Linked DNA regions of Arabidopsis thaliana. The protein of the gene in region 2 interacts with the protein of the main gene of each other region in a pairwise test. Each region holds a gene or a part of one and is shown on either strand. Other genes may lie near its edges.

Region 1 (3,759 bases), on a different chromosome or scaffold from region 2:
ATCAGTAGTGTTTTATCTTCCTTGGGGATCAAGTAAGTGATGGAAAAAAGGCAGTGAAATGAATATATACCTGCATATTGCCGATAAGTAGTGCGAATAAGACTAGTCCAGATATACAAATTGATACAGCAAATATGATTTCCCCAACGAATTTGCTTGTATTGAGATTTTGTCCCAATGCACTGCAGCGAGTGAGAAACAGCAAGTGATCAGATTAGTGTTTCATGCTCAACATATCTTAGCCAGCCATCAAGTGTGTCACATGAATCCTAAATTACTAATAACTAGATAGAGAGAGTGTTACAAACCTTAAATTACGCAAACCCCACCAGAAGCAGTAGAAGAACTTCTTCCAGAAATCATCTGATTCAACAATCCCACTCTTTAAAGCATCAGTAAAGATACCAAAGTTGAAGACAGTTGAATTTGTTATATCATCAGGGTTGATAAACGGGCACGAGGTAGTCAGGAAATCGTTTCTAACACTACTGTTTCCATCGCAGTAGAGAAATCTAAAGTTACACACTTCTGGTATCTTCTCACAAGCTTCACGCCAGCATCTGTCTTCTCGTTCTACTGATATTAAGTACCATAAGGCTCCAAACACATGACTGGCTAACATATAGAGAGATAGGTTCCAAGCAGCTCCAGCCCAAGCGGTTTCAGTAACTATGCCAGATGTTCTTGTAACTTCAGTGTAAAGTGGATAGATACGAAGAATCCTTGGAATGTATTGAGTAAATATGACAGTTATCAAATAGTCCTTAGTGATCAAAGAGACCGGCTTGTTGACATTGGGGATGACAGCTAAGACTACAAGCTGCAGCAGATACAACAGAATATTAAAGAACCATCAAGAAGGAACTATAAAACCATTAGGAACTAAAGGTTACCTGTGGGAGTGGAAGGATAGAAAGAAGATCGATGATGAAGTAGGAGGAGAGGTACTTGATGGCTATAGCTTTAGGATCATCAACCAACTCGCCTCTTCCGAAAACACGAGAAGAAGGAGAGATATAAGCAGTTCTAAACTGAAACACAATGTGAATGATGTAGAAAGCATCTATAAACGTGCGAAGCACACTAGCTGCTATCTCCAAGTTACGATGCAAATTAAGACAGTGTCTTTCTCCATCAACAATAGGAATATAGAAAAACAATGGATCAATAGCCAAAGCAATCACTGAAGCAAAAAGAAAGATTTTGTTCCAGTTCTGTAAAAAAGATCCTTGTGGGTTTATAATATTCTTCTGTGTAGTGGTACTAGAATTAGAATCTCTCTTCTTATTATGTGAACCAAAACTTAAAGGTTTCTTAAGTCCTCTACGAACATTCTTCAAAACTGTGTTTAGAGATGGTCTAGCTTTATTTCTTCCGTAACCATACTCTGTTCCCTCTGAAATCCAATCTCTGAACCTAAACAAAAAATCATCAACAAAAAAGAATATTTTTTCTGAGAATCATTCATATCCATAGTTTCTCAGTAAATTCATTCTAAAAAAAAAAAAAGACAGAGATTAAAGAAAGCAAGCAAACAACAACCTTACACGATTGTTGCGGCCAAAAGCCATGAGTCAAGCTTTTTTTGCTATAACGGATCCTGAATCATAAGAACATCGATTTGATCGCTTTAATTCGTTATCCCCAAGTTTACAGTAACAGAAAAAAAAAAAAAAGAAGAAGAAGAAGAAACGGAAACTAAGAAATTAAAACATTTATATCCGAAACTGACCAGAACGTTGAAGTAACTGAGAGAAGCGATATAAGAAAGATTATAGTAAGAATTTTCCGATGATCTGAAATTGGGAAAATTCTCGAAATTAATTCTCTGAAGTTTTTTTTTGAAGCAGTCAAATAAGCTATCATCGTAGAGTCAAGCTTGGCATGGCGCTGGAAAATGGAGACTCCATTGGCAGTTTCTTCGAAATTGTGTGCATTTTACAATAAAAGACAAAAGAGAGGGAATTATTAAAGAGTCAAAAACATTTGATGGGCCTAACCTTAATTAAAAGCCCAATTCGATATTGAATTTGATTTTAAAATTCAGAACTTGTTATATATCAGACCAACACAGTAAACATCATAGATTCCAGTAATGCATCAGCTATAAACAGATCCTAGCAGTGTGAAATAGTAAATATGCTACGATTTAAAGGTTTGGATCCAAAGAATTTTACCAACTTCATAGCAGATTGTTCACACTCTACACTCAATAAGCCAAATGTAAACAAAAAGATGACCAAAGATCTTCACAAATCTACCATGAATCACAAAATCTATGAAGACAATGTGATTTAAAGCAAAGATCTTACAGTTTTTATGGGCTCTTAGTTAAATTTTGAGATAGTAAATTTTCATATAGGCCCAACCGCCCAAGTGAGCAATCTTGCAGGACTTTTGTGTTGTTTATGGCTTTTGTCTTGTCTGACTCATGAAATCTTGTTTTTTTTTGTAGATAAAAGAACGATAAATGACGCTTTTAAAACTTTTTAAAGACGAGAGTTCTAATAAAATTAGGAAATAATAATATATGATGTTGACAAAAAATGTAGAAAAATATATGAAATTTTTATTGGCACGAAAAATTTGTAGCGAACCGCATCATATCATCACTTATATAAGCAATATTTTTTGAAAATAACTCATTTGAATATCATTAATTAAGCAGATGAGAAAAAATGATATGAGGTTATTGAAATTTTTAACCAAATTGTTTTTTATATAAAACATGTAACACTTTCTGTTTGTTTTTTCTTTTATATAATTTTGTTAACACCTTTCTATATTTTCTGCTTTCAATATTTTCTATTTTCTTTTATTTTGAAATAGTATTTTTTTTTGTAGGGATTTGAAAATAGTTTTTTTTTTGTAGGGATTTTAAAATAGTTTTTGAAACTACTAACTAATTATTAATAAAATTCAATGCTTTGAATAAAATCTAAATGGTATACAAATATTAAACTTTACAAGAATATGAGTTAACTATTTAATACCTTTAAGATTTCATATTTACTTTTGATGATATGTACATTTTAATACGTATATGGCAATATCATTGGTAGATACACTATTTCTAACTTAAATTTTAAAATGTGGTAAAAACATAAAATTGAAATACTAAGAAATGTTACTTTAACACTTTTATCCTCAAATTTGGATTTCTGGATGTTTCTATAGGTCGAACCAATAATTAAAGAATTGATAGTAACAAAATGGGTTTTAATATTGATTAGAAGAAAATTAAATTAGGTTAAAGAAAAAGGAAAGAGTAGACGAAAAGTTAAATAAATTTTAATAGGGTTTTAATATTGATTGATATAACTCTCTGACTCTTCTGTGACTCTTTTCAACTTCTGACTCTTTCTCTTTCGCTCTCTCATTCTTAACAAGAAAAAAAACTGGCATCATCTCATCATGAGGAACTCTTTTCCTCCTTCAGACGGTGGGAGATCGACGACTGATCGTCGTCAGCAGTCGTTTCCCTCATCCTCAACGAACCGTTATAACTCTCGCTCTGCACAATCTTCTCCGCCGCTCAACCACTGTACTACTTGGAACCAGCAACACTCTCAGTACCATAACACTAATTTCCCGCCAAATTACAGACGTGATCGTGCTCCGTCGTCGGGATTCTCTCCTCCAGTCACGCGGGCTAGGCCTAATTTCATCGTTCAGCTGCTTCACCCCGCCGCCGCTAACAGTGACACAAAGCTGTCTAAGAAGCAAGAGATCGAGAGTATCGCTTTGCTTTGCGAAATT
Region 2 (3,759 bases):
GCCACATAGTCCACAACTTCTTTGCTGTTGCTGAATGCGTAGCCTATAATGTTTCGGCATGTGAAGAGAAGTGTGCTAAAGAAAGCTGACTCTACAAGCCAGAGACAAAGCCCTGCCAATACTGAAACCCTAGCAACTTGAGGAATCCCAGCTCCCAATTTGTTTGACACGCGTGTGCTGCAAGAAACCAAATGACTATTATTGTTTAGGAAGAAGATGTTGAATATGTTTGGTTAAAAATTTGAGTTCATACCTCACAGCCGCCGCGACTCCACCTGGAATCACATAGTGCAAACTTGCTGTTGTAAGACTTGCATTAAAGAAATAAGATTCATTAGTTTTTAGTAAAGAGGATAATAAAAATAAAAAGAAGTCGTTATATGATATATATTTACCAAATTGAAAGAACAGAGGTCTCGAGTTTCGGGTTTGGGAGAAGACCTGAACAGAGTATGAGTAGCTCAAATAGCCACCATTCTAGGCTATTAAAGGAAGACCAAGAAAACGCAAGCAAGATAAAAAAAAGCATTGGTTGTTGTATGTAACTTGACCAACAAGAAACTTAAAAACGACTTACCAAACCATTGCCGCTGATGGGACTCCGAAGTGGAAGAACTGCTTGATACAAGACACGAAATCACTGGATACAAATACGCGAGTCTTGTCGCAGGAGCTGGAGTACCTCACATAACATGAGAGAATCACAACATAGAACCAGAAAGACACACTAATAGCCATGGCAGCTCCATTGCTTCCCAGACCAAACGCGTAAACAAAAGCCCAGCAAACAGGGATGTGGAACAAAAGAGTGGTCAGGGTACAGTAGAGCAGTGGAAGAACCAACCCTTGTGCTAGCAGAAACCGAGTCAGTGGGATGAAAAACGCATGGGCGAACAAAGCCGGTATGAGCCACAAGGCATAGGAGCCAGCGACTCTAGAGATGTCAGGGTCTTGACCGAGAGAGATTAAGAGCTTTTCGATGTAAATCCAGAGAACTGATATGAGGACACATATAGGGATGTTAGAGGCAGTTGCAGAGTATGTGTAGGTTCCGATTTTTTCGTATTGTTTGGCTCCATAAGCTTGGCCACAAAGAGTTTCTAGTGCACCCGCTAACCCAAACTGCACAAAGAATTAATATAGTGTTATCAAGATTTGAGAGGCAACTTGATCTTGAACTTAAGAGGAGAGAGTAGTTATAGCATATCATTACCAAAATACTGAACCCGGAAACGTTTGTGAAGGAGGTTGCAAGAGCGACGCCGGAGAGCTGGAGCTCACCATTGTGGCCAGCGACCATGACTGAAATGACAGGCAATAAGTACTGAGCAATGGTCACGGCGGCCATAGGAGCGGCCAAGCTGCTCACTTTCTTCAGCTCGACGGTAACCTGACCACTTTTCCATGTGTCTTTACAGGGGACAAGGTGCTCATCTTGCAGAAGAAAGGGCTCTTCCATTGTTGTCCTTCCTAATGTTGAAAGCCGTGTGCGTATAATCTCTGATGTTATTCTTCTTATCTTTTATAGACAGACAACGAAAACCAATGTTTAGACTTTTCTTTTTGGAAATTTGTGGGACTAGAATATTGAATTTACACGACTCTTAGCTCAACCAGTAAAAGGTATTCTATATTTTCCACCGAAGATACTCAAAAAAGTATATTATTATGTCTACACGTTAAAGTATAAAAGTATAGTAGTTTTTCGCAATGACGTTGTATAGTTTCTTCTCTTTAGTGGACGTTGTGGTCAACAGTCATCCAATAGGATAATAAGGAAGTGCATGAACAAGAAATATACTTGGGGACCAAGTTCGTATAATCAATGACTAAACAACAAAACAACTCGAAAAAGATTACTTGGGAATCAAGTTCTAATATTCAGAGATTGACAATTTATCAAAAAAAATAATTTTGAACAAAAAGAATTTGTTTTAAATAGCAACTACACAGTGCAAACACGTGACTCACAACAACAGCATCCTTACCGTGAGCCATTAAAGTATTTGAGAGCAACTTCATCGCGAGTTTTTTTAACAAGGGTTCTCACAATTTCACAAAAGCGGCATTCTAAAGAGGGCAAAACCGCTGTTTGTTTGGATCCCCATTTCGAATTGGGCTGGGCAGCCTTTGGCCCACTAATAAATTTACCACGGCCTAAAGCTAATGCTAATGGGTAGGCCTATTTACCAATTTGGTCCAGGTCTGTTTTTCTTTCTTCCTTGTCAAACACTAGATATCTGATGGCAGGGTTATGGTTTTGAGATTGGTCGTGGACTCCTTTCTCTCATCACGTTGACACCTATAGATAGTCTAGACAAGGTGCTTTTATTAACCTTGGTGGTAGATCTTAGTGCCTTAAAGAGCAGCTCATACTATTCATATAAGTCTAAGAATTTTATGATAGAATCATCCTCTTTTATAGAGAGAACTTTTGAATCATCCTCTTTTATAGAACGAACTTTTGGTTTGTCTCCGACTTTAAGTTTGCAAAACCATTTGGATACCTTAATCACCTTTGTAGAAGCTGCGTGTTTCGAGCCATTGTTATCCAAGGTTAAAGACTCTTTATCAACGTCACTATGTCTCGTTTGGACCGTGACCATTCAACAATCTCCCAAAATATTCGTGTAATTGTCTTCGACTCACCATTCTCTCGCTTGTAGCAAGTTACTACATTGTTCTTGTCTTCGATGTATGGATCTACCGTCAAATTATCTTATATCATTTTCCTTTACCATTCTCTTGTGAGAGAACTTGTGGTTTTCTTTGATGTTTCCAACCATGAGGTTGATGTTTGTTTAAAATTTGTACTACATATGGGTTAAGTTTGAATGAAATTATCTTTTGCACAAAAAAAGGGTTTTGACCATTAAAAACTAAATATTAAAAAGTAAGAAAAGAGAGAGAGGTATAATTTAGTATTAGGTTCAAATTTGAGAGTCGGGTGAACCTTTAATACTTGTAGTTTTATTAGTGGGTCTAATTGTATTAAAAAATGCAATATAATTATAAATTTTTTTAATTATTAGTGGTCTAATGCTCTACAAGACTTTTTCATTCTAATATATATATATATATACTAGAAAGTTATCCAAACGATGCGTGAATTGTATATTTGGTTTTAGTTTTGAATATAGAATGATATTAACATTAAATTATATATAATATTTTTTTATAATTGTTAATATATCGATAGAAATTATTAGAAGTAATAATTTTGATGTTTACAAATTATGATATGTTTAATGAAGACATTTTACTTGATTAAAAGTTTTCAATGCACTATATTTTGGCTCTTTTTGTGTGAAATTGATATGTTTTATTATAAATTAAAACTTAATATATTCAATATTACCTTTTTTTTGGGGTGAAATGGAAATGCATGTATTACAAACATATGATTTAAACCTTCACAATTAAAATTTTTAAAGCTTATGATATAAGATGATTTTCAATGGAAAATCCTCCAACTTGACTAAAGATCTCATAATGTCGGTTCAAAAGAAAAAACAAGTTATATAAAATCTGATAAATGTACTGAAAACGTTATGTCGCTATCGAGTTACCAATTGACCAACAATACTTTATGTAAATGGAAGATAAAGAAATATTTTCTTTAAGAATTTAAAACAATAAAAAGAAATTGATTTTATATGGATATAATAAAATTAGGAATTTAAAGTTAAAATATCTTATTATTGAGTTATTTCCTTAAATTTGATTTGTATATAATAAAAAAAAAAGTTAAGAGCGGAT

Evidence for each region.
Region 1: the proteins of AT2G04050 (region 2) and CNGC13 interact in a protein complementation assay, tested with the Arabidopsis thaliana proteins (one large-scale study listed by BioGRID).

Annotation. Positions count from the first base shown.
Region 1 is NC_003075.7:435,672-439,430, forward strand, and holds the start of CNGC13 (cyclic nucleotide-gated channel 13), read right to left. Parts: upstream 1,921-3,759; 5' UTR 1,733-1,920; exon of another isoform or gene 1,601-1,732; 5' UTR 1,572-1,600; coding exon 1,543-1,571; intron 1,417-1,542; coding exon 894-1,416; intron 821-893; coding exon 309-820; intron 183-308; coding exon 71-182; intron 1-70. Other genes in the region: AT4G01020 (helicase domain-containing protein / IBR domain-containing protein / zinc finger protein-like protein), read left to right, coding at 3,415-3,759. UniProt on the Arabidopsis thaliana protein: Putative cyclic nucleotide-gated ion channel.
Region 2 is NC_003071.7:1,337,812-1,341,570, forward strand, and holds the start of AT2G04050 (MATE efflux family protein), read right to left. Parts: upstream 1,658-3,759; 5' UTR 1,460-1,657; coding exon 1,214-1,459; intron 1,123-1,213; coding exon 578-1,122; intron 483-577; coding exon 396-482; intron 311-395; coding exon 254-310; intron 178-253; coding exon 1-177.